Linked DNA regions of Struthio camelus. The protein of the gene in region 2 interacts with the protein of the main gene of each other region in a biochemical or structural test. Links are inferred from orthologs where the notes say so. Each region holds a gene or a part of one and is shown on either strand. Other genes may lie near its edges.

The links. The genes of interacting proteins can lie anywhere in the genome.
Region 1: the proteins of NEDD4 (region 2) and sodium channel protein type 5 subunit alpha form a complex in vitro, tested with the Homo sapiens proteins (3 studies listed by BioGRID, with this or other methods). The link is inferred for Struthio camelus from reciprocal best matches to the Homo sapiens genes NEDD4 and SCN5A.
Region 3: the proteins of NEDD4 (region 2) and NDFIP2 form a complex in vitro, tested with the Homo sapiens proteins (3 studies listed by BioGRID, with this or other methods). The link is inferred for Struthio camelus from reciprocal best matches to the Homo sapiens genes NEDD4 and NDFIP2.

Annotation. Positions count from the first base shown.
Region 1 is NC_090943.1:7,057,692-7,064,736, reverse strand, and holds the start of sodium channel protein type 5 subunit alpha, read right to left. Parts: upstream 3,032-7,045; 5' UTR 2,963-3,031; intron 1-2,962. UniProt on the Homo sapiens protein: Pore-forming subunit of Nav1.5, a voltage-gated sodium (Nav) channel that directly mediates the depolarizing phase of action potentials in excitable membranes.
Region 2 is NC_090953.1:16,358,335-16,366,346, forward strand, and holds the start of NEDD4 (E3 ubiquitin-protein ligase NEDD4), read right to left. Parts: upstream 3,036-8,012; 5' UTR 2,982-3,035; coding exon of another isoform or gene 2,937-2,981; intron 1-2,936. UniProt on the Homo sapiens protein: E3 ubiquitin-protein ligase which accepts ubiquitin from an E2 ubiquitin-conjugating enzyme in the form of a thioester and then directly transfers the ubiquitin to targeted substrates. Specifically ubiquitinates 'Lys-63' in target proteins.
Region 3 is NC_090942.1:175,522,696-175,529,897, reverse strand, and holds the start of NDFIP2 (NEDD4 family-interacting protein 2), read left to right. Parts: upstream 1-4,171; 5' UTR 4,172-4,423; coding exon 4,424-4,459; intron 4,460-7,202. UniProt on the Homo sapiens protein: Activates HECT domain-containing E3 ubiquitin-protein ligases, including ITCH, NEDD4, NEDD4L, SMURF2, WWP1 and WWP2, and consequently modulates the stability of their targets. As a result, may control many cellular processes.

The sequences.
Region 1 (7,045 bases), on a different chromosome or scaffold from region 2:
TTTCATATCTTTCAAACTGAGCTTCCAAATACGAAGGCATCTAAGGTGATACCAGATGATAACCTGTCCCTTCAGAAAAGCATAACCAGGATTTCCAAACACTAGCCCAACATGCCTTATCATGCGACCTCACATGATCTTTCCTCACATACATGTGCAGAACATTCCTTCAAGATACTAGAGAGAAAATGCTCATGAAAAGGAAAAGAAAATAAGGTATCAATCCTCTTCTAATGTCATATACAGGATTTTTTTTTTAAATAGCTATGTTTCCTAAATCTCCTGTTTCATTCAGGACTCCATTCCCTAGCAATACATTTTTAGATATAATTTTGAGCATACAGTTGAAGCAAGAACATAGCAACTACTCCACAGTTTTTTGTGACCCAGCAACTACTCCACGGTTTTCTGCGGCCTGCAGAAGTCCTGGGAGGTGTTAGCTGGTCCTGCAGGTGTTTTTCTATCACAGCGAGCACAGGGACATCTCTGATGATACATGTCAGGAAAACAGCGCTTTCAACAGTGAAACACTTTTAAACACTGTACCCATAAGCTGTCATTCAGAGTGAGGAAGCCTCATGGTCTACATACACCCTTCATGGTCAAAGTATTTGGGTTACATACCCAATGATGTAACTGAATTCCTCTGCGATCTCTGACAAATGATTTAACCTCCTCTGAAATGAGGGTATGAAACAATATCAGTTCTCTATCATACTGTACAGAGTTTTGGCATGCTTTAAATCTGCAGCACTCCTTGCAGTGTAAACTACTTCTCCATGCGAACATGGGTATCAGAATTTGACCCTTTGTGGTTGCAGAGCCCCTTGAGAGTCTCAGACAGAAGTACAAACTGTATTATGGATAGCTTCAGATTAATATCAAGAACTGAGAAAAACCACATGTCACAACACCGATCTCCAATCATGTACAAGTTAAGTATCATATTCTTCTGTGATTATTTCTGGCAACACTGTGATCCGTTTCATACAAAGAATTACATACTACTCAGATATTTTGGCATAAATCTAAAAATATCACAACTTGCACCACGGGCTTCCATTTATATTGTTCACTTGTTCAGACACTTACCCCCCAAAATAGACTCTTTTCTTAAGTAGCCTCTGTTTCTAAAGGTCCCGTTCAACTTTGGTAACCATATGAAAAGGCTTACACCAGAAAAGAGTATTTCCAAAATCATCACTCCCATCCCATTTGTATCATTCTCATCCCATCCCGTCCCCGACATGGAGCTTCCCTCTGTTTTTTTGGAACCAGCTAATGTCTCACTGAAGGCAACATACTCAAACCAACAGCAGCAACATCCTCAAATGCACCACGTTTTTGGCCCATTAGCACAAAGGGAGATCCACTCCCCACTGCCCTGCAGCTCTGACCTTTTCAATTCTCTGCCACCAAAAGCTTATAGGATCTGCCGGATCCATCTGCGACTCCACCTGGCCTGCTTTCCCACGCCAAAAGGACGGATCAAATATACGTGTCTGAAAACACATCCCTGCTTCCTCTTGGCACCACCCAGGAGGTACCCTCCAACTCAAACTGCACCGCTTTAACACGAGAGGAAGCCTGCAGCAATCACCTGTGCAAAACCCTTAAATCCTCGGAAATGACAGCAAAATGCACTTCAGCACCTTGGACAGGACACAGGCACACACACACGCAAAATGGGGAAATCAGCAGAGCAGCCCTGAAAGTGTTGAAACCGCACATGACCCTACAGGACACATCTGCGGGCCTGTTTATTTTTAGTATTGACAAATCCTCTTTGAATCGCAGTGTTTATGACCGGTCTTTCAGGAAGAGTTGTTGGTCCCCCGGGAGGTGGGGGACATGGGGGCCACCAGGTTCGCTCCCGGCACCCGTCTCCGGGGTCAGCACCTGCCCCGGGCACAGCTGGAAAGGCTCAGCTGAAGCACCCGCTAACCTCAACTCCTCCTTTCCAGGCAAAATGAGACCTGTTGCTGTGCGTGTGTCGCCTGTGTGCACCTCTGCTTTTTAGAAGCTCATCTCCTCCTCCTCCTCCTCATCCCAATCTCCCAGGGGGAAAAAAAAAAATATTCCCATTGCAGTCACAGTCTGGTTGCGTAAGTTTTGTTTTAATTCAGATTTCGTTATCTCGTACGGTGCTCCGAGTATGTCCCTGTTCCCCTCTAGGCTGTCTTGATAAAATCATGATCACCTTGCCAGAGCGCAGCACAGCTCTCTGTGCTTTTCTTTTATTTGTACAAGTCAAGTAGAGTTTTTGATTTGGGCTGGTTAAAAAATCCATATATTTAAAGCAGGGCCTCCAAGGGGCAGCCCTTTGAAGTGAGCGACATATACACATAATATATTATGTCAGTTCTTACAACAAATAATATCAGTAATAGTCTTATAGAAGAATGATAAATTTTCCTTGCCACCATGGAAATACCCCCCCGAATTAATTTCTTCCCTTCCCAATGTGCTACTAAATTTCCGTTCAAACACATCTGCTACCACATTACATTCACCAAACTATTTGCTGAGTATCCTCCGTGTTGTTGCTATTGTTATTATTATTACTATCATTATTATTATTAATTATTATTATCAGCGGCAGTTTCAGATGCAGAAGCCCGAGGGAAACCAGCTCGACTCGCAGCAAGAGTTACCCCTCAGCAGCCAAACCTCAGCCTTAGCACCCCGGGGGGCGAGCCTGGCCGCTCCGCCGGCCGCTTCTCGCACCTGCCGCGCCAGCCTCCCCGCCACCCTCCCCACGCGGGACGGCCCGAAGCGGCACCCGGCGAGGGGCGCGGGGGAAGGGGAGCGGGACGCGGCGCTACCGGCTCTCCCGGCTAGCGGGGAAAGTTTGGGTCTCCAAGCAGGGCAAGGGGAAATTCCTCCTCCTCAGGCACGCTTCGAACCGGACTTCTTCGTGGCGTCCTTTTTATTAGCGAACAAGCAAAAAAGAGGAACTTACATTGGTTTATTTAATTTTCCCCGCTAAACCAAGAGTCCCAGATTCACTTCATTGTATCCACAGAGTTTTAGTCCCCGCGTGAGCACTCCCCGCGGCCAGGGCCATGGTGCTCGGTGCGCTCCGCGCCGCGGCGGCGCGCCGCTGCCCTCCCCGCCGGCCGCCGCCGCTCCCAGGCTGCCCGGCTCGGCGGTGCCGCCGCCGTGTGCTCGGTGCCGCCCCGCGCAGCCCCGCGCAGGCGGGGGGAGAGCGGGGCGGGGGGGGAGCGCGGGGCGGTGCCGCCGCCCGCCCCGCCCCGCCGCCGGCACCGCCCCGGCCCGGCCCGGCCCGCCCAGCCGCCGGCACCGGCACCGGCATCGGCACCGCGGCGCCCCCTGCCGGCCAGCGGCGGCGGAGCGGGGGGAGGAACCGGGGGAGGAGAGGGGGTGGGGAGCGGGGAGGAAGGAGGGAGGGGGAGGAAGGAGGGATGGGGGAAGGATGGGGAGGAAATTGGGATGGGGGAAGGATGGGGAGGAAGGAGGGATGGGAAGGAAGGAAAGGGAGAAGGATGGGGAGGAAGGAGGGATGGGGGAAGGATGGGGAGGAAGGAGGGATGGGAAGGAAGGAAAGGGAGAAGGATGGGAAGGAAGGAGGGATGGGGGAAGGATGGGGAGGAAGGAGGGATGGGAAGGAAGGAAAGGGAGAAGGATGGGGAGGAAGGAGGGATGGGGGAAGGATGGGGAGGAAGGAGGGATGGGAAGGAAGGAAAGGGAGAAGGATGGGGAGGAAGGAGGGATGGGGGAAGGATGGGGAGGAAGGAGGGATGGGAAGGAAGGAAAGGGAGAAGGATGGGAAGGAAGGAGGGATGGGGGAAGGATGGGGAGGAAGGAGGGATGGGAAGGAAGGAAAGGGAGAAGGATGGGGAGGAAGGAGGGATGGGGGAAGGATGGGGAGGAAGGAGGGATGGGAAGGAAGGAAAGGGAGAAGGATGGGGAGGAAGGAGGGATGGGGGAAGGATGGGGAGGAAGGAGGGATGGGAAGGAAGGAAAGGGAGAAGGATGGGGAGGAAGGAGGGATGGGGGAAGGATGGGGAGGAAGGAGGGATGGGAAGGAAGGAAAGGGAGAAGGATGGGGAGGAAGGAGGGATGGGGGAAGGATGGGAAGGAAGATGGGATGGGAAGGAAGGAAAGGGAGAAGGATGGGAAGGAAGGAGGGATGGGGGAAGGATGGGAAGGAAGGAGGGATGGGAAGGAAGGAAAGGGAGAAGGATGGGAAGGAAGGAGGGATGGGGGAAGGATGGGAAGGAAGGAGGGATGGGGGAAGGATGGGAAGGAAGATGGGATGGGAAGGAAGGAAAGGGAGAAGGATGGGGAGGAAGGAGGGATGGGGGAAGGATGGGGAGGAAGGAGGGATGGGAAGGAAGGAAAGGGAGAAGGATGGGGAGGAAGGAGGGATGGGGGAAGGATGGGGAGGAAGGAGGGATGGGAAGGAAGGAAAGGGAGAAGGATGGGAAGGAAGGAGGGATGGGGGAAGGATGGGAAGGAAGGAGGGATGGGGGAAGGATGGGGAGGAAGGAGGGATGGGAAGGAAGGAAAGGGAGAAGGATGGGGAGGAAGGAGGGATGGGGGAAGGATGGGAAGGAAGATGGGATGGGAAGGAAGGAAAGGGAGAAGGATGGGAAGGAAGGAGGGATGGGGGAAGGATGGGAAGGAAGGAGGGATGGGAAGGAAGGAAAGGGAGAAGGATGGGAAGGAAGGAGGGATGGGGGAAGGATGGGAAGGAAGGAGGGATGGGGGAAGGATGGGGAGGAAGGAGGGATGGGAAGGAAGGAAAGGGAGAAGGATGGGGAGGAAGGAGGGATGGGGGAAGGATGGGGAGGAAGGAGGGATGGGAAGGAAGGAAAGGGAGAAGGATGGGGAGGAAGGAGGGATGGGGGAAGGATGGGGAGGAAGGAGGGATGGGAAGGAAGGAAAGGGAGAAGGATGGGAAGGAAGGAGGGATGGGGGAAGGATGGGAAGGAAGATGGGATGGGAAGGAAGGAAAGGGAGAAGGATGGGGAGGAAGGAGGGATGGGGGAAGGATGGGGAGGAAGGAGGGATGGGGGAAGGATGGGAAGGAAGGTGGGATGGGAAGGAAGGAAAGGGAGAAGGATGGGGAGGAAGGAGGGATGGGGGAAGGATGGGAAGGAAGATGGGATGGGAAGGAAGGAAAGGGAGAAGGATAGGGAGGAAGGAGGAATGGGGGAAGGATGGGGAGGAAGGAGAGATGGGGGAAGGATGCGGAGGAAGGAGAGATGGGGGAAGGATGCAGAGGAAGGCAGGATGGGGAGGAATGATGGGGAGGAAGGAGGAATGGGGAGGAAGGATGGGGAAGGAAGGTGGGATGGGAAGGAAGGAAAGGGAGAAGGATGGGGAGAAAGGAAGGATGGGGAGGAAGGAGGGATAGAGAGGAAGGAAAGGGAGAAGGATGGGGAGGAAGGAGGGACAGGGAGGAAGGAAAGGGAGAAGGATGGGGAGGAAGGAAGGATGGGGAGGAAGGATGGGGAAGGAAGGTGAGATTGGGAGGAAGGAAAGGGAGAAGGATGGGGAGGAAGGATGGGGAAGGAAGGTGAGATTGGAGGAAGGAAAGAGAGAAGGATGGGGAGGAAGGAGGGATGGGGGAAGGATATGGAGGAAGGAGAGATGGGGAAGGATGGGGAGGAAGGAGGGATGGGGGAAGGTAGGATGGGGAAGGAAGGTGGGATGGGGAGGAAGGAAAGGGAGCAGGATGGGGAGGAAGGAGGAATGAGGAGGAAGGATGGGGAAGGAAAGCGAGATGGGGAGGAAGGAAAGGGAGAAGGATGGGGAGGAAGGAGGGATGGGGGAAGGATGCAGAGGAAGGAGAGATGGGGAAGGATGGGGAGGAAGGAGGGATGGGGAAGGAGGGATGGGGGAAGGATGAGGGGGAGGGTGGGATGGGGAAGAAGGAGAGATGAGGAAAGGATGGGGAGGAAGGAGGGATGGGGGAAGGATGGGGAAGAAGGATGGGGAAGAAGGAGAGATGAGGAAAGGATGGGGAGGAAGGATGGGGAAGAAGGATGGGGAGAAAGGAGGAATGGGGAAAAGGTGAGGAGGAAGGAAGGATAGGGGAAGGATGGGGAGGAAGAAAAGGCAGGAAGGATGGGGAGAAAGGAGCGATGGGGAAGGATAGGGAAGAAGGATGGGGAGGAAGGAGGGATGGGGAGGAAGGATGGGGAGGAAAGAGGGGTGGGAAAGGAGGAGGAAGGGAGGATGGGGAAGAATGGGGTGGAAGAGGCGTGGGAAGGAAAGAGGCATGGGGGAAGATGGGGAAGGACTGGGAAGAAGGAAGGAGGGATGTAGAGGACAGGGAAGGAGGAAGGATAGGAAGGAAAGAGGGACGGGTGGATGGAGGGATAGAGTCAGGGGAAGGATGGGGGAGGAAAGAGGGAGGGGAGGAAGGAGGGCTGGGGAAGAAGGAGGGCTGGAGCTGTGGGCAGCCTGCAGGGGCTGGACTAGGCAGCGAGGAGAACCACCCGGGTTTGGGGTCAGAGGGAGCGGACGGGGCCAGAGGGACAGAGCAGGGAGGAGAGGCACTAGGGGAGCCAGGGCAGGAAGGGAGCAGCCTCGCAGGGGAGAGGGGGACAGGGGTCAGGGGCAGGCACCATGCGGACCTGCTGCTCCCCGCCATGCCGCGGGAGCAGCCCGGCGACTCCAGCTCCTTGGCAGGGCGCCTCGGGACTCAAGGAGCAGATGCGAGGCTGGGTTTTGTTCGGCTGCATTTTTCTCAAGTTATTGAAATTGTAAAGTTTAGGCTTTGATTTAAAGTTCCCAATGAACAGAAGAAGTGGCTTTTACAGAAACTGAGCTGGCATGGGGAAATTGCTAAGGTTCTCCATGCGGGGAAAAACTACTGCTTACAAGACTGAGGGTAAAAGGCAGGAATTCAGTGTCGATGTTCACGGTGGGGGGAGGTCAGCAGCAGAGTCCCGGCAAAACCATGCCACACCTTGCCTTCTTCAGCGCTCATGACAGGAGGTGGAGAACGGGGTGACAGAGTTTGCTGTCACTGTTGAAGTATTCGGGGTGGTAAAATGAAAATAAACTCGTG
Region 2 (8,012 bases):
ATCTAAACCTGAACAAGCTGAAAGTTTTGCATTCGGAAGTCTCTCAGCCAAAAAATCTTTAGCTGAGGACACCCTACCTCACAAGCACATTTAAGAACATCAGCAAAATCAGCGCTACTTTCACAAAGAAAAGCAGCAGTTGCATCCATCAACTTCTACAAATATGAACCAACACTTGGAACTATATCCAAAGGCAGACATATACTTGTATGCAATAACAGGAACAGTTACCCACTTCACAGGTCAAGACAAAGTCTGCAGCAGTTAATGCTCCCAACTGATTTTTTTTCAAGTGGCCTCAAGCAAAGTGCACGGAGAGAAAGTCTGACCTGAAGGTGGGAAACGCACTTTAAAGTGTTTCTTTCCTTTTCAAGGCAAGGTAAATGAGAGGAGAAAAATTAATCTTAAAAATCTTTGTAAAAGCTCTTTATTTTCCTGGATTGAGAAAGGAGTAATCTCTTTTGTCTTTTTTCTATATACTATTCCTGCAATGTAGAATAGTTTACAATAAAAACAGATTTTAGACACTTGATTAGTATTCAGTCTTGTTCTTCGATATAACTTCGTCAAAAAAAGCCGAACGGTACCAGGAATTGTGATCACTGGGCAACTATAATTTTGTTCCTACTGCATATTTATTTTAGCCTGCTACTGCGTATTTCATCTTGCCAGAACCTTTGATACAACCATAGGTCACACTTTCTAAGAGACAACAACTGTTGTTTACTAAGGAAACAAACCAGGTAGTATTCAACAAGCAACTATTCTGTATCTTCTTCTCTCTTCTTCTTTCAGCATGTGATCCCAGACCTTGTTTTGCACATACTGTTAAGACCCCATTCTGAATACAAAATTATTAATTCTCCTCATGGGCTGCTTTTCTAGTGCTCACTCTTTCAACATCCAAGTGAGCCACAAAAGTCCTACTGGTGACAGAATGGTATTATATCCATTTTATAGAATAAAAACTGAACCGGAAAAATTAAGACCAATTGCATTTGCTACAATTTGGCACTGAAATTCAGATACCTAAACACAGCATACACAATATCCAGCTGTATACACCGTGCCCTAAGCTACAGCTTCCTTCTGACCCCAGCCTCTTTGCCAACATTTTCATTGTGCCAGCAACATGATATTAACAGCCCCGTACTAAGGGTCTGAATGACTAATACACCATTAAGCAAGCTATCAGGGATAAATTCTGGAAGGGGGGGAGGGGGGGTGGAAGTCTCCAATGCTGCATTCAGCTGCCTCAACAATTAGACCAAGCCCTCCAGAGGTAAGCAGACAACTTCAAACCATATCCCAAGCAAACCTCTCTCGTGGAATGGGTCAAACAGCAGCCCCGCGGGAAAAGCAGGGTCCAGACATAAACTATGGAAAGGCTGCAGATCAAGGTGCAGGTGTACTGGTGTGGAGAAGGAGTTTACAGACAGCTCCTTGATACTACTTCTTTCTTTTCTGTATGGTTTGGTTTTCTAATTCTGTGTCTTTACTGTAATTCTGTGAAGGCAATTTTGCAGATTTAAACTCTGGGAAGAAAAAAAAGAAGAGAATCCAGGGAGATAGGAACTCTAGTTTTAATTCTAGCACCCTAGTCCAAAGCAGCTGGCAGCAGATTTTCTATAACCCAAAGACTATCCATTTTATCATTTGTGCACGTATAGTCATACACTGAAACTATGAAGAAAACCGCACATGTTCTTTAAGTGTTTATCAATATACAGCAACTGAATATCAAAGTCTCTGATGGTAAACAAACTGTGTTTTAAAAAACTGTAACTTGAGAAAGTGTGGCTAAGCTTTTAAGTTGTGGAAATAGTTAAATATGAAAGAATCGTTACATACAACTTTCTTTCCTCCCCCTCCCTCCAAAGACTTCATGTTCCAAAGGATGTAGGAAAAGTAGAATTGTTCAATTGTGAGCCGATTTCAAAATTTCTTCCCCACAGCAGGCAGGCTAAGCAACAATTAAGCTGGCTGAAATTTAATAAAATAAATTAAAATACAGAGCCTGAGGCATGGAATATTTCAGTCCAAGTGGATAGCCTCAGAAAGTTGCAAGCAACTGAAAACAGGATCTTCCAATGGAAGTGCTGGACAGCCCTAACAGCATGTTGGGCTAATTTTCTAGGAGAGTTCCTACCCCACTGAAGTTTTTAAGAAGAAAAATTAACTTATTAGAGCTTTTTGGTTACTTCTGGAGAAGTAATACACCAATTACAGCTAACAGACTTCAGGAAGACGTTAGCCTTCTGTCAGGCTAACAGACTAGGAAGAGTATTTCAAAGTTAAAAGAACAAAACAACCCTGCTAAGCCCGCAACAAAGGCGCGTTGACAGAGAGAACATCACCGAGGGACACAGAAAGAGCCGATCGAAGACAATCTTGGTGAAACGCCCTGCTGGCTCGAAAACAACAGTACCGACATGTCGCCCAGGTCACCGCACAGCTGTCTGAGGGAAAGCGCTGCGACTGAAGGGGGGAGCGGAAGGGGACAGGCCGCCCCCCCCCCCCCAACGCAGGTAACGCTCAGAACGAGCGGGCGCTGCTGGCCGAGGCCCGCGCCGCCCGCGCCCCGCTGCCTCCCCCGCGGCCGCCCCGCCCGCGCCACCCCAACCGCTCAGACAGCGGCTCCGACGCGGCCGGAAACAAAGGCTCGATCCGCCAGCGCTCCTCGCCCGCCCGGCGCGGTACCGACCGGGTCACCGCGCCCGCCCGCCCGGCGGAGGGGGCGGCACGGCGCTGCGGCAGCCTGCGCAGGGCCGCGCTGCCGCCCCGGCTCCGCGAGCGAGGCGGCGGCGGCGGGACCTGCCGGGCTCCGCTCCGCCGGGCCGGGCCGGGCCGGGCCGGGCCCACCCCGCGGGGAAGCCGCCGCCCGCCTTCCGGCGCGACGGGACGCGGGGAGAGCGGGGCGGCCCCGCCAGGCTCACCTCCTCGCCGGGCAGCCCGAACACCTCGACGGGAGAAGCCGCCATGACCGCGCCGGCGAGCCGAGCCCGCGCCCTCCCCGCCGCCGCCGCCGCCCCGCCCCGCCCCCTCCCCTGGCTTCGCCGCAGCGCGCGCGCCCTCCCCCGCCCTGATTGGCGGGAACCCCCCGCGCCGCGCCCACCCCCCGGGAGGCGGGCGCGCCTCCTGATTGGCGCCCGCTCCGCGGCCCACCCGGAGACGCGCGCCGGGCGGGGGGGCGCGCGCGGGCCCGCCCCGCCTCAGGGCCCGCCCGCCCGCCGCGACGGGCCTCTGCCCGCCCCGACGGGAGGAGGGTCCTGAGGCGGGGCCGAGCCTCCCCTGCCCCGCTCGAGCAGCTCGTCTGAGCTAACAAGAGATGAACGAAAGAAATCATCAGGGATTTTTCTTTTCTTTCCTTTTCTTTTTTTAAAAAGGTCTGCCTAACCCTGCTGTTTAGATCGTTGGTGTCTTTCCTGCACCTCTGAAGGCCAGGGGCTTCTCCTCAAGCCTCGAGGGTCCCTGCCTAACCACTTCATGTCCAGAGTGCCTTGGGGATCACAGAACTCGGTAAAAACTGGCAGAAGGAAAAGTAAGATTCATTGACATGAAGAAAAGCCTTTCCAGCCGGGCTGAGATGGTGTTGCCTTGCGAGGGCACTCAGCGGAGGAAGGAAGTTGCACATTGTGTAAGGAGCTGACCTGATGTAACAGCCAAGCCAGGAGAGCCTGAGAACACCAGAGGAGGAAAAGGGATAGCTTGCAAAAGCCTAGTTTGGAATCAATGTAACAGTGTCATAAAGACTTTCCTTTTTCTCAAAAAAAAAAAATCTCAAACTTACAAGCAACAGCAGCGTGTTGATGAGGGAGCATGTTAGCATTTCTGGTGAACGTCTGAGGTCATCCTCAAATTACCATTCAGTGGTGTTTCTGAGCAGTCTTTCTTTATATACATTCCCGTTTAAAGGGTCTAGTTCTGTGATATTTTTGCACGTGGTCTGAATTCATCCTGCCTTTCACAGTGCCCTGTGAATCACACAGGATTCCCTGCCCACTGGCCTTCCCCACCAGCAGAGGACAACTGGAAGAGCTGGGCTAGGAAAACTAAATAAAGCAGGGTGCTTTAGTCTGAGCTCTGTAGTTGTAAATGTTCGTACAAGCCTGAGCTAAGCTTCTCTGTGTACTGAGCAGGCTGTGAGCTAGAAAGCAGAGCTTCATTTCAGGAAGAACACATGGAAAACCATGTATGTAGCTAAGGGTGGGCAAACATAGCAGCACCTGTGCTGGCAGAAAATGAATTTCTTTCATCAGCTTTGAGCCCATCCAACCTGGCCCCTCACAAATCTACTTCTCTCATCAGATGATGAAAAACTTCTGCCCTTACCAAAACAAACACAGGCCCAGGCTCCTCTCTCTGAGCTATGCCCCTAGCAGACTGCAAAACATGCAGGTAGCTAACACGTTCCCGCCAGGGCTTGGGCAAGCCTGTGGTAGTTATCAATCACACATGTTTACACTCTCCTCCCAGGGCTAGCTGGAGGCTCTGAGAAAAAGCAGTCTCAGCAACAGGGCTAGACCACCCAAGACACTTGTTCTCTGACCAGTGAACCTGTACTCTCAATTGCTTGGAGCCTGACTGCTGTTTCATGTTATGGGAAAGGATCAGCCCTCAGGAGCTCACTGACAAGGTTGTGCAGGGTTTATATCCCATTCTCCAGGTCCATCATTTTGAGGTCTGTGGACAGAAAGCTTACAGCTCTAGCTGGTTAGCTCCAGATGATATGTGGTCATTGACCCTGGTGGTCAGTGATGCCTCATATGGTCTGTTTAAACCTTAGCTAAGGTAACTTTCAGGAAACTATGCATTTCATGCATCATTTACATTCTGCAAAACCTTAGTTCACCAACCATCAACAGAAAGTTGGTCATCTTCTTTAATGGATCTTGCTGCTCCTTGCTTCCAGCTTTTTCTCATCTGTTCACTTACAGGGTGGGTTCTGCAGCCGTCAGTTGTCTTTGCAGTCTTTCAGTTCTCGCCACGGAAGTGATAACAGAAAACAGCTTTCCGTATAGCTGGAGGAGGAGCTCTAGTCGCCCCATCTTCAGCTTCTATGTGAGTATCTGTCTGAGTCTATAATGTAGAGGGGATTAGCCTCTAGTTTAAGTTTTTGCTCCTCCAGTAGTCTGCTCAGCCTGGACTGTAGCCTATTGCTGCAGCATACACTGCTGGTTCCAGTAGAGTCTGGACCATCCATATTAATTTTTGCATTTGTACTTGCTTGTCTTTTGCTTCTTCTTCTTCTTCTTTTTTTTTTTTTTCCCTTTAATTACTGGTAAGAATTGCTGTGGACAGATCACAAGGGTCTGGACTGTGGACACACTGTTGTCTAGAAAGAGAGTTCTGTTGGTGAGACAGACTGATAGCTCCTAACATACATTTTGTCTCTGTGAAAAAGTACAGTTTTTTCTAATAATTGAGACTGAACTCTGCTGACAGAGACGGTAGCCAGTCCCAGGGATTCTCTCTATATATCCTATTTTCAAACTTTCTCACCTGATGTCGACAGCTTGTTATACCAGAAGAGACTAGCTGAGTCCTTGACCATTCTCAGGCTACTTATACAGCGGAGACTGGAAGGCAAGAGTAGTATATAACGGTGCCTTTTGTAGAGCTATCTGGGATTCTTTCTTGTAAGAGCTTCCTTCAGATAACTGACTCGATGGGCCCATGGCAGATCGATTGGTTCCATAAGCCTTAAACAAGGACTCTGCCTATCGGCCTTGCCAATGAATAGTCTAGATCCACCTTCCCTAACTGTGTTCTCTGCTGCACAGGATCTTTTTTAAGGCAACTTCTTTCATTAAGTAGTTCTGGGCAAGGTAAACATGCCTCCAAAGACAGAGCAAAACTATTCAAAAAGGACACTTCTATTACAACATAAACGCTTGTTTACTTGATAACATTACTCAGTAGACTTCCTAACTTCAGAAAAGGTGCTGTGTAGATTTCCCATGTTTTCCTAACGGATTGATAACCAGACATGCTGGTACCTTGGCCTGTTCTCCTCTCACCAGTTTACCAGTTATGAAAGGGCTAGTACCAGCCAGTGAGTATAGATCTGTTTTTGCCAGCATCAGTTCATCCATGTTCCAGAAATGAGTGTAGGGTATAACGTATGAAAAATCAGGTGAGTGCACTTAGACTGGTGAAAAACAGGCAATGTGGCCTTCAGGCAAGAGACAATAGTGTCGTAGTCGTGATAGTCAATGAATACGAACAAGGTAAATTCATATGGAGAAACAGTACCTTTTATTAGACCAACTGATAAAGTTTGGAAAAAAGACCCAGATAAGCTTTTGGGTAAATTCAAAAGAAACAGTCCCCTTCCTTCTCTGGGTCAAACCTCTAGACCTCTAACATTTTCTCTCTAAGTCTTGTTCACTTAGCCCTGCCTAAAGCACTCTTTCCCACCGCTAATTTAGAGGTATCGCCAAATTTAAGCAGGAAGGCTCCTGGGTGAATGCCAAGCAAAGATAATCTGCCTAAGTTGCAGCAGGCACAATTTCTTGGACCAGTTACTTTGTAAAGCACTCTTGTTGCTGTAATTGAGCCTAACGTTGATTAGTAAATTGTTCTTACAGCTTGCAAGAAAAACACATGGATTTGCTGCTGTTAAGCATGAATACGTGATTTTGCAGTGCTGCATCTTGCACTATGTCGTTAGTGTGCACAAACCCAGCCAGAGAGAAAGTATCAGACCCTGGAGGGCTGTTTCATCTGAATATACCCAACAGCTTGTTTTTTTGTTTTCCAAATTACATTAGTTAATCCAGTAAATAATGTTATTTTATTTCTCCATATAAATCTTCTACTACAACACTACTGTCATTTGCCTGAACTCTCCATTGTCCGTTTTTCTGAGGTTTAAGGCTCAGCTTTTCTGTACACTGGAAGTCTATGAGAAGAAGCGCTCTCAAGCAGCTTGAAGCTCCATTTAACAAGGATTTTGTTTGTGAAGATTTTACTAGCACAATAAAAGTAATTGGGCTTTTTTGTAAGCCATCAACACTCAAACATTAATTTCTGAGTAAGGCATCATTTCCAAAACTGCTGAATTTTAAACAGGATATTAGCCTACTCCATTTGTGATATTAAATTTTTAAAGGAGCAGATTGCAATACTGCCCCAAATTACTTCCCACTGATTTATTTTTGTGTGGAAAGACCACTGACTGTCCAGAGCAGGAGCAACAATACAGCCAAATCTCAAATCCATAGCTAGTCATCTGCTATCAGTAAGGCTTGTGTTTCCCATCTTGTTATGCAAAGGCATGCACACACTGAGAAAAGGTCTACATGCATTTTCAATGGGATCGAGAATTGTCTTCAGTAGCTCAGCAAGCCATCTAGCAGTTCACGCAAAATACAGTTTTAAGTTAAAATACTTCTCTTGTATCTAAAAATAGGGGAAAAATAAACTACAGCCTGTTTGTTAAGTATACATTCAGTTCTTACATAAGATACGTATCTTCAGCCTTTAATATTTTATAGTCTTTTGTAGTTACAGACTAATAGCAGAAGATATTTCTTCTGAGAGATCTTCTTTCTGCAAATAAATAATTTTCAGCTGGACAGAAAAACCTGCATTTGGATCGTTTGTGCGCAATGGAACGCTTTCTCCTACATCAAGACCATTAAAAACAAATGAATATTTAATCATCTCATTACTCTATCCCAGTAGCGAGTTCTCATCCCGTAGCAAATAAATTTGCCTTCTATTACTGTCTGAATTAACCTTCATTCACATGAAAGGCTGAAAAATTACGAATTTTTAATTTTTTCCCATTTCTTAAATGGTGGCATTTAGCCTGATAGACACAGTTAGTGGCCTGAATTTTATATTCATTTACAACATTTGGTTTGTTTCTTTCTTTGCACTAAATGTTTTTATGGCCTTAAGAGAATCCATACACTGTAATACTTGACTGCCTTGAAAAAAAATCCATTCACTGCAATACTTGATTGCCTTGAAAAAAAACCCACACTAGTGTTTGTGTTTATAGG
Region 3 (7,202 bases), on a different chromosome or scaffold from region 2:
GTAACTAACAGGAAACAGCTGTGTCAGCATACAGATCAGTGTAGACTGCAAAATCCATCCTAGACCAAGGCAAATATCTGAGATGTTTCCCACCCTGAGCTCTGTGCTGCAGTAATTATATTTAAAGCTGGTTCAGATATATCTGCGTGATATTTGGACCTGATCTGCAGGACTATACATATGTATTTACATATGAATAAAGATGATGGTAATGTAATTGAAACTCTATTTTCAGCTAAGAAATCTTAAAAGTAGCCTAGCGTTCCTGTTAATGATGGCTCTGGCATTGCCTGTGCTGCCTAGAAAAGGAGAAGAAAAGATGAAGAAAACCAAGCCAACCTCCTATTATTTCTTTTTTAGAAATTCAGTCCCAGTGGTTTCTTTTAGTCAGCTTCCGTCTTAGAGTAGCTGTCAAAATCCATACAGAGATCAAAATTGTTATGCAGTTTATATAATCAAGAACATAGAATTAAAATTAAATAATTTATAAACATAGTTTGCAAACAGTGAAGAAAACAAATACAGCCAGTAAATAAATCTATGACCTGATTTCAGGTCAGTCCATGAGTAAATTAAATAAGTACATTAATTTCTTTAAATTTATCTTTGGACAAATCTACTTATTTCTCAGGGACATTGTTTGCATTATAGGTTTGAAAACCAAGGCTCAAGATGCAAAATTAAGTTACAAAAATTATTTTTGTCTTCATTTTTTGGATATAAATGAACAGCTTTCATTCTCTCTAGGTTTTTTACGTAGTATAGTAAGCAATACAGCATAGAAAGCACAATATTGACTTAAACGGTATCAAATAGTAAAATAGTATAAAATGCAATATTGCTTATGTATGTTTATTAAAATAAAATTGACCTAGTGCTGATGTTTACCCACTGTGTAATGTTTCTTTCCCATCAGAAACATTAAAAATTTGAATAGACTTATGCATGTAAAGAAGCACTTCCTTATTTGCTGACCATTGATAGAATAATGAATGAAAAAATAAATTTAAAATTGTTAACAATCTTGTAGTGCTTGCAGTTGTGTAATTAAGTTCAGATGTATCTGAATTCAGATCACAGCTTCCAAGTCAACTTCTCAGGGTACTAAGATTGCAACAGTTATTACTACCAAAAAGATTCCTTTGTTGGCTCATTTTCATGTTAGAGCAAAGTTTAAACTGTTGTAAACTTGCTGACTAAAAGCAAATTGATTTCTTCTTTCCTAAAACAAATCTAAAACAATGCTTTCTTTTAAATGTCATTTTGACATTATTTTCTTTACATACTGAGCACTTTCCATAAATACAGCTCTTTCACAATAAACAAATTACTACATGATCCAGAAAACAGTGATAACCATTACTGTCACTGTATACCGTGGTTTAAGGAGGTCACACAGAAAAAAATAAATATTAAAACTTGTATTATTCAAATATTTTAATCAACATGATTTGGTTATCTAGGCAATAAAGTTCTAACTGTTCTGAAATACATATTTCTCACTTTCAGTGTACATTTACAGGTGCCTTAGTGCTTGCTGATTACTTTGTGCTGTAGATTAATATTATGCCATAGACAAAATCTCTAGAACAAGGCAGTTAAAATATATTGATAACACTATTTTGACAATAACAATATCTTTCAGGAACGTATGACCTTCCTTTTTAGCCTTCTATCAGTGCAATAACACAGCCACCCACACAGTTACGTGGCTTTAAAAAGAAGAGTTACAGCATTCCAGAAAGAGCAAGAACTGAAAGACGGACATATTCAGAGTCAAAAGCCATACTGTCTGTTTTAAGGATGCATTTATAATACTGCTAAAGAATAAGAAGTTGAGTTTCTATACATCTCTTAAGCTGTAGCACGCATCCAAAGTTCATCCTTAAGCATGCAGCTCCCTTCCTACACACGCAGTATTCCTCTACTGAATCTTTTTGCCAGCTTCTGTGAAATATTTTGTAATTTCCTTGTTAAAGACATTGTGGTCCTATCTGCTGTCTTTTCTTTCCTTAAAAAAAAAAAATATATATATATATATGTATATTTTAATTTAAAACTACAACTTGCTTCTTACTAAATGCTTACTCAGTTGCTGTGTTGTGTGTGTTTGTATTCTGTTTAAATATTTACAGAGCGAAATGTTCTTTGGCAGCTATTAGCAGAACTCACCTGGTGTCCAACTGGGAGCTTCTAGGCATCTTTATTCAATAGAGCTGAGGTACAAAACATAGAAAAGAAAATGTGGAGGTCAGACAGCATTTTCAAAATTTCACTTGTTCAAAACTCCATTTCTGATTAACGCAACACTTTCCAGAAAACATCTTCCTGGACTCAGATGTGACATTGAACACTTTAAAAACTGTCTACTTTTGGGAAGTTTGTTTCTAACAGTATAGAAGACACTAGAAATTAAACCTATTATATGAATGGTCTAAATTCCCTTTCCCATGAAATCTGATAATACAATTAAGAGGTTTTCCTTCTATTTGGTAACAGAAGCACAGTACAGTACTCTGTACATGCTATTCTTAAACTTAACATGACCTGTACTAATAAATCTTCCCTTTAAGACAGAATAATTAAACACAGAAACTTTCATTATGTATAGAGGTAAAGAGGAAAAGGGAGGAAATCCTGCCAGGAAAATAATAACATTAGTCCATTTCTAACCTGTATTTCTCTGCCAACTTTGTTTCTAGACTGTTAGGCCTTTTTATGCACAACCAAGTTGTTCAATGAGGAACATAAGAAATGCAACAAACAAGAGTAGGCCGTGTAAGTTCCCAAAACTTGGTCTGTTTGCTTATTAATAACCGTTGTGGTAGCCAGAGATGGGCTTCAAGTGAGGTCCTGGGCACATCATGCTCCCGCTCCCTCCTCCCTGTGTACCTTCACTCCCACCCCCACCTCGAAACCAACCCCCAGCTCTCCACTTCTCTGCCCTCCTACACACACATACTAGGGCTTAAACTCCACTCCTGCAAGTCCTTATCCAGGCTAATGACCGCCTGCGTGACAACGCTTAGCCTGCCGCTCAGGTCAGCCTCCGAACAAGCAGGCTGTCTGGATAAAGGCAGTGATCTGGGCTATACGGGACAAAGTTCTGCCATGAGCCATTACTGATAGCAAGAATCTGCTTTCATGAGAGTGTTTATCCTAGGGATCTGCTATACCCCCCCCCCCCATACAAACGCTCCTTTCTACTATGGCTCGGAGCTGTATGCCCAGCTGTTTGGAAATTGTTTTAAACTACGACTGCGTATCTGACAGTTTGGGAACCTAGGAAGGAGTCGTACTGATCTGACAGGCCACCAGGGTGAAAGTTTTCACTGTTTTTACCCCAGGAGGTCATCAGTGTTACATCAATACATAAACATTTACAGTTTTAGAAAGACGAGTGAAGGAGAAGATCACAACGTTTTTCTCCTCCTCCTCCTCCTCCTCTCAGAGAATGGTGCTTTTGCCTTGAATTTTCAAAGGAACAGAAGACAAATAGGTTCTTGACTTAAAATTAGTACAGAAAGATTCCTACTCCAGATCATCTTCTAGGCCTCAAGGATGTCTACTTTATTCCTTATTTATTTATTCGTGCCTGATGGGGATAAGCTGCTAGGCTACGCATGCTTTGTGGACAGAATAGCCTTGCTGATAGTGCAGAAGGAGGAAAAATACTACCGAAAAGAGGGGGAAAGGGCAGCGGCGCACAAACCCTGTGAGGGGCTGAGCGTACACACCCACCCCGAGAAGGGCTGGGGACACCAGCCAGCAGGGCCAGCGCCCGGCAGGGCCTTGGTGGCAGGGCGCTCAGCACAGCCCCTGGGGCTGCCGCGCTGCCAACGCCAGCAACGCCGTCAGCTCCACTCCCCGAGCAGCTCCGGCGGCGGGGGTTACACCGAGGCGCAAATCGCTGCGCCTCGCATAACGGCAGAGAAGACGGACAAACCCATACGTTTCCCCCACCAGGCAGGGCACGCCCGTTTAAACACCTCCACGCTTCCCCCCAACACCCCGCCCAACGGCCGACCAGCGGCCCCGCGCCTGCGCAGAGGCGCGCGCGCCCACCGTCCCCTTCCCCCCCCACTCCCGGCGGCGGTCGGTCCCCGGCGCGTCACAGAGGGCGGGGCCGCAGCGCGCTCCTCTTCCCCCCCCCCCCGCCCAACGGCAGGAAGGGAGGCGTTGGTGGGCGGTGTGGCCCCTCCCCTGGTGGAGGGCGGGGCGCGGCGGAGCGGGGGGAGGGGCGGCGGCGACCGGCTCCGTCGCTGGAGTGGGCGAGGAGGAGGCGGCGGCGGCGACGGCAGCGACGACGACGACGACAGCGGTTGAGCGAGCGGGCGGGCGGCGGGGAGGAAGGGCTGAGCGAGGATCGGGCTGGTCGGAGCAGCTGCGGCCGCGCCACTGTGTGCGTCCGCCGGCGGCCGGGATGGATCACCACCAGGCCGCCAGCCGCTACCAAGTGGTGAGTGCGGCCGGCCGCGGCGAGGCCCGGCCGCCGGGTCGGTCCGTGGCGGGGAGGGGGAGGTGAGCCCACTCGGAAGCCCTTTCATCCCCGCCCCTTCGCCTTTTTTTCCCCCTCCCCCCTTCTTTTTTCTACTACTCCCCTCCCCCCCTTTTTTGGGGCCTACGCGACTCCAAATGTGAGGGTCTGACAGAGATCGCCTCGCGTTTCTCCAGCAGTGATGTGGGCCCGGGCCCGGGCACGACCCTGTCTTTTCCCTCCCTCCCTCCTGCCCCCTCCGCGATAGCCGCCCCTCCCCGGGAAGGGAGGGGGGGATTTGGCTTCGGCAGGGGCCCGCCGCGGAGCTGTGTGCTTGAGGGGGGCTGCCTCAGCCCGGCCGAGCTGCTCGCTTGTCTTCGCGGAAAATCCCGGTGCCCTTCCCTGTTCTCGTCCGCCCTGCGCAGGCTGGCCTTGCTTCCCCTCCCTTAGGCTGCCTCGGGGCGGTCGGTGGCGGTGCGGGGGCTGTTGAGGGCTGGGCTGAGTTGAGCTGAGGTGGGATGGCAGCGGTCTCCTCTCCGCTCGGGAGGGCAGTATGTTTTTCTTGCCCGGTTAACTGATTGCGTGGTAGCTGTCTTGATCTTCGCTGATCTAGCCGGGTGGCTTATGCTTTCCTCTTAGGTAAGAAGTAAATGGACTCCTCTGTATAGCTTGTTACTTTTGTGATGTTCAGGAGAAATTCGTAGAGCCTGGCTTTGTTTGAGTATTTCACTGATAGTTCAAGCTGTTGTCCTGGCAAAAGTTTATTTGAAGAACAGTATTTTGTGCTGTCTAGCTGTGAAATTAAGGATAGGGCAATATCTCTAATTAATACATGTGTCAGAGAATGAAGTGTCACTTGTATTCTAAAGCCATTGTTAGCAGTTGCTTGGCTATCTAGCACAGGGATAGATTTTAATGTGTGTATATTCTAATCTTAAGTAAGCCATTGCACATATGTGTATGCGCACACACACGTGTACTGTGGCTGACTAAAGATTAGATTCAGTGTACTGTAAAACACTGAAGACAGATCTTCTGTAGGCCTGTGTTTATGTATATATGTATGTATATGTGTACACACACGTGGGTGCATGCACACATACACCAAGGATAGTGGTTTACTGAAGTACTTTACAGTTCATTGAGTCTAATTTGAATGCTCTTTCCTTCCTCCTAAACTTCATTACTGAAAAAGTAACTTAGTATACTAAGCTCTTCTTCCAGCCTGAGTTGAGTGTACTGCTTGTTTCAATCAGTTGTTAGTTTAGTGTCAGTTATAGTTAAAAGGTGTATGCTTTTCTGATTATGTCACAAAAATGGCTTACGTGTAGTCAGCCTCTTCAAAATTTTCAATTTTAACCTTTAGTTCCATGTACTTCATGGCTTTGCTACATATTTAAGGGGGATACCATACAAATGTGAAATCTTTGCTACTGATTGTAGTTTAAACCTCTTTTACAATCCTCCATCTAAAGCCTGAATTGTTCATCTTACTGTTTGTGTTTTACAGCTTGAGTAGTGAAAACAATGAGCACAAAAGTAGTCACATTTACTTTTGTTTGATCTGTTATCTTGTATTTCTGGGTCTGGTGATATTAATGCCATGTTCTAGAGGTAAATGGCTCTTCTGGGTTGCAAGCAAAGAACTCCTAAGAGTGAACTTATGTAAAAATAAATACAAACGTTTGTATTCGGATTGTTCCTAGGTTATACTCTAAAATGAATAATGAGAAAGCCTTTGTTATGCATTTGAAATATTCATTTTGATAGTCCTACCAATAGTATGGAAGATTTCTGTTTGCTCTTGCGTGATTATATTGTGGGACAGTCATATAGCTGAAGAACATACCCGGCAGTCTGCATCTTCTCAGGAGTGAAGTATACCTTTAGGACACTAGCAGGTCCCAATGCACTGTATGGGTTAGTTAGCAGCCTTCTAACATACTTCTCTTCCTGTGCCACATTACCATAATTTAGAATTAGCAGAAGTCCAAAAGTCATTGGCTCTTCTTTACAAAGGTGAATGAAAATGCTGGCAGAGCATTTTCTGAGGAGCCTTCAAATGCTATATTCCCTCTGAGGTCTGAAGTAACCAAGTTATGTTTTAAAAGGCCTTAAAAGTGTATGCTGTTAGAGGTCTGATAAATATAATGGAAATTTTGCTTCCGTTACTCAGAGGAGTAGAAAAAAGCATGGTAAGATGGAATGAAGAGATAATTTGCCTCTGTAATTTTTTTTTTTGTTATATTTGATTTAAAACTTCCAACTATGGTGCTGGTGCCCAGCTTTGAATAAATGCTTTTTGTTGCAGTGTTCTAAAAGGAACGATATTGATGTAATATAGTAAGAGTTGGCCCAATCAATTTCCCATGTATATTAAACTTTGTGGCCAATTTATGTAACTGAGTTTTGTTACAGAAGTGTTCCCTGAAGCCTGTGCAATTACAGCACATTAAATAACTGACTACAAATTCAATAGAACGACAAAAGTGCTGTTTTAATCTTTGATGCACCACCGAGTTCAAAATAAGATCTTACTGATTACTACCTTTTAGGAAGGACCGTATTGTTTTTCTTTTACTATACATACATCTGCCTACTTGACACTGAGACTTTCAAAATGTTATTTGCTTACTCTGCTGGGTCAGAGGATGGAAGAACAAGACAATTGCAGATACACTTAATTAGCACCTGATTCTTAAAGCTTATAATCTTTAAAGTTATG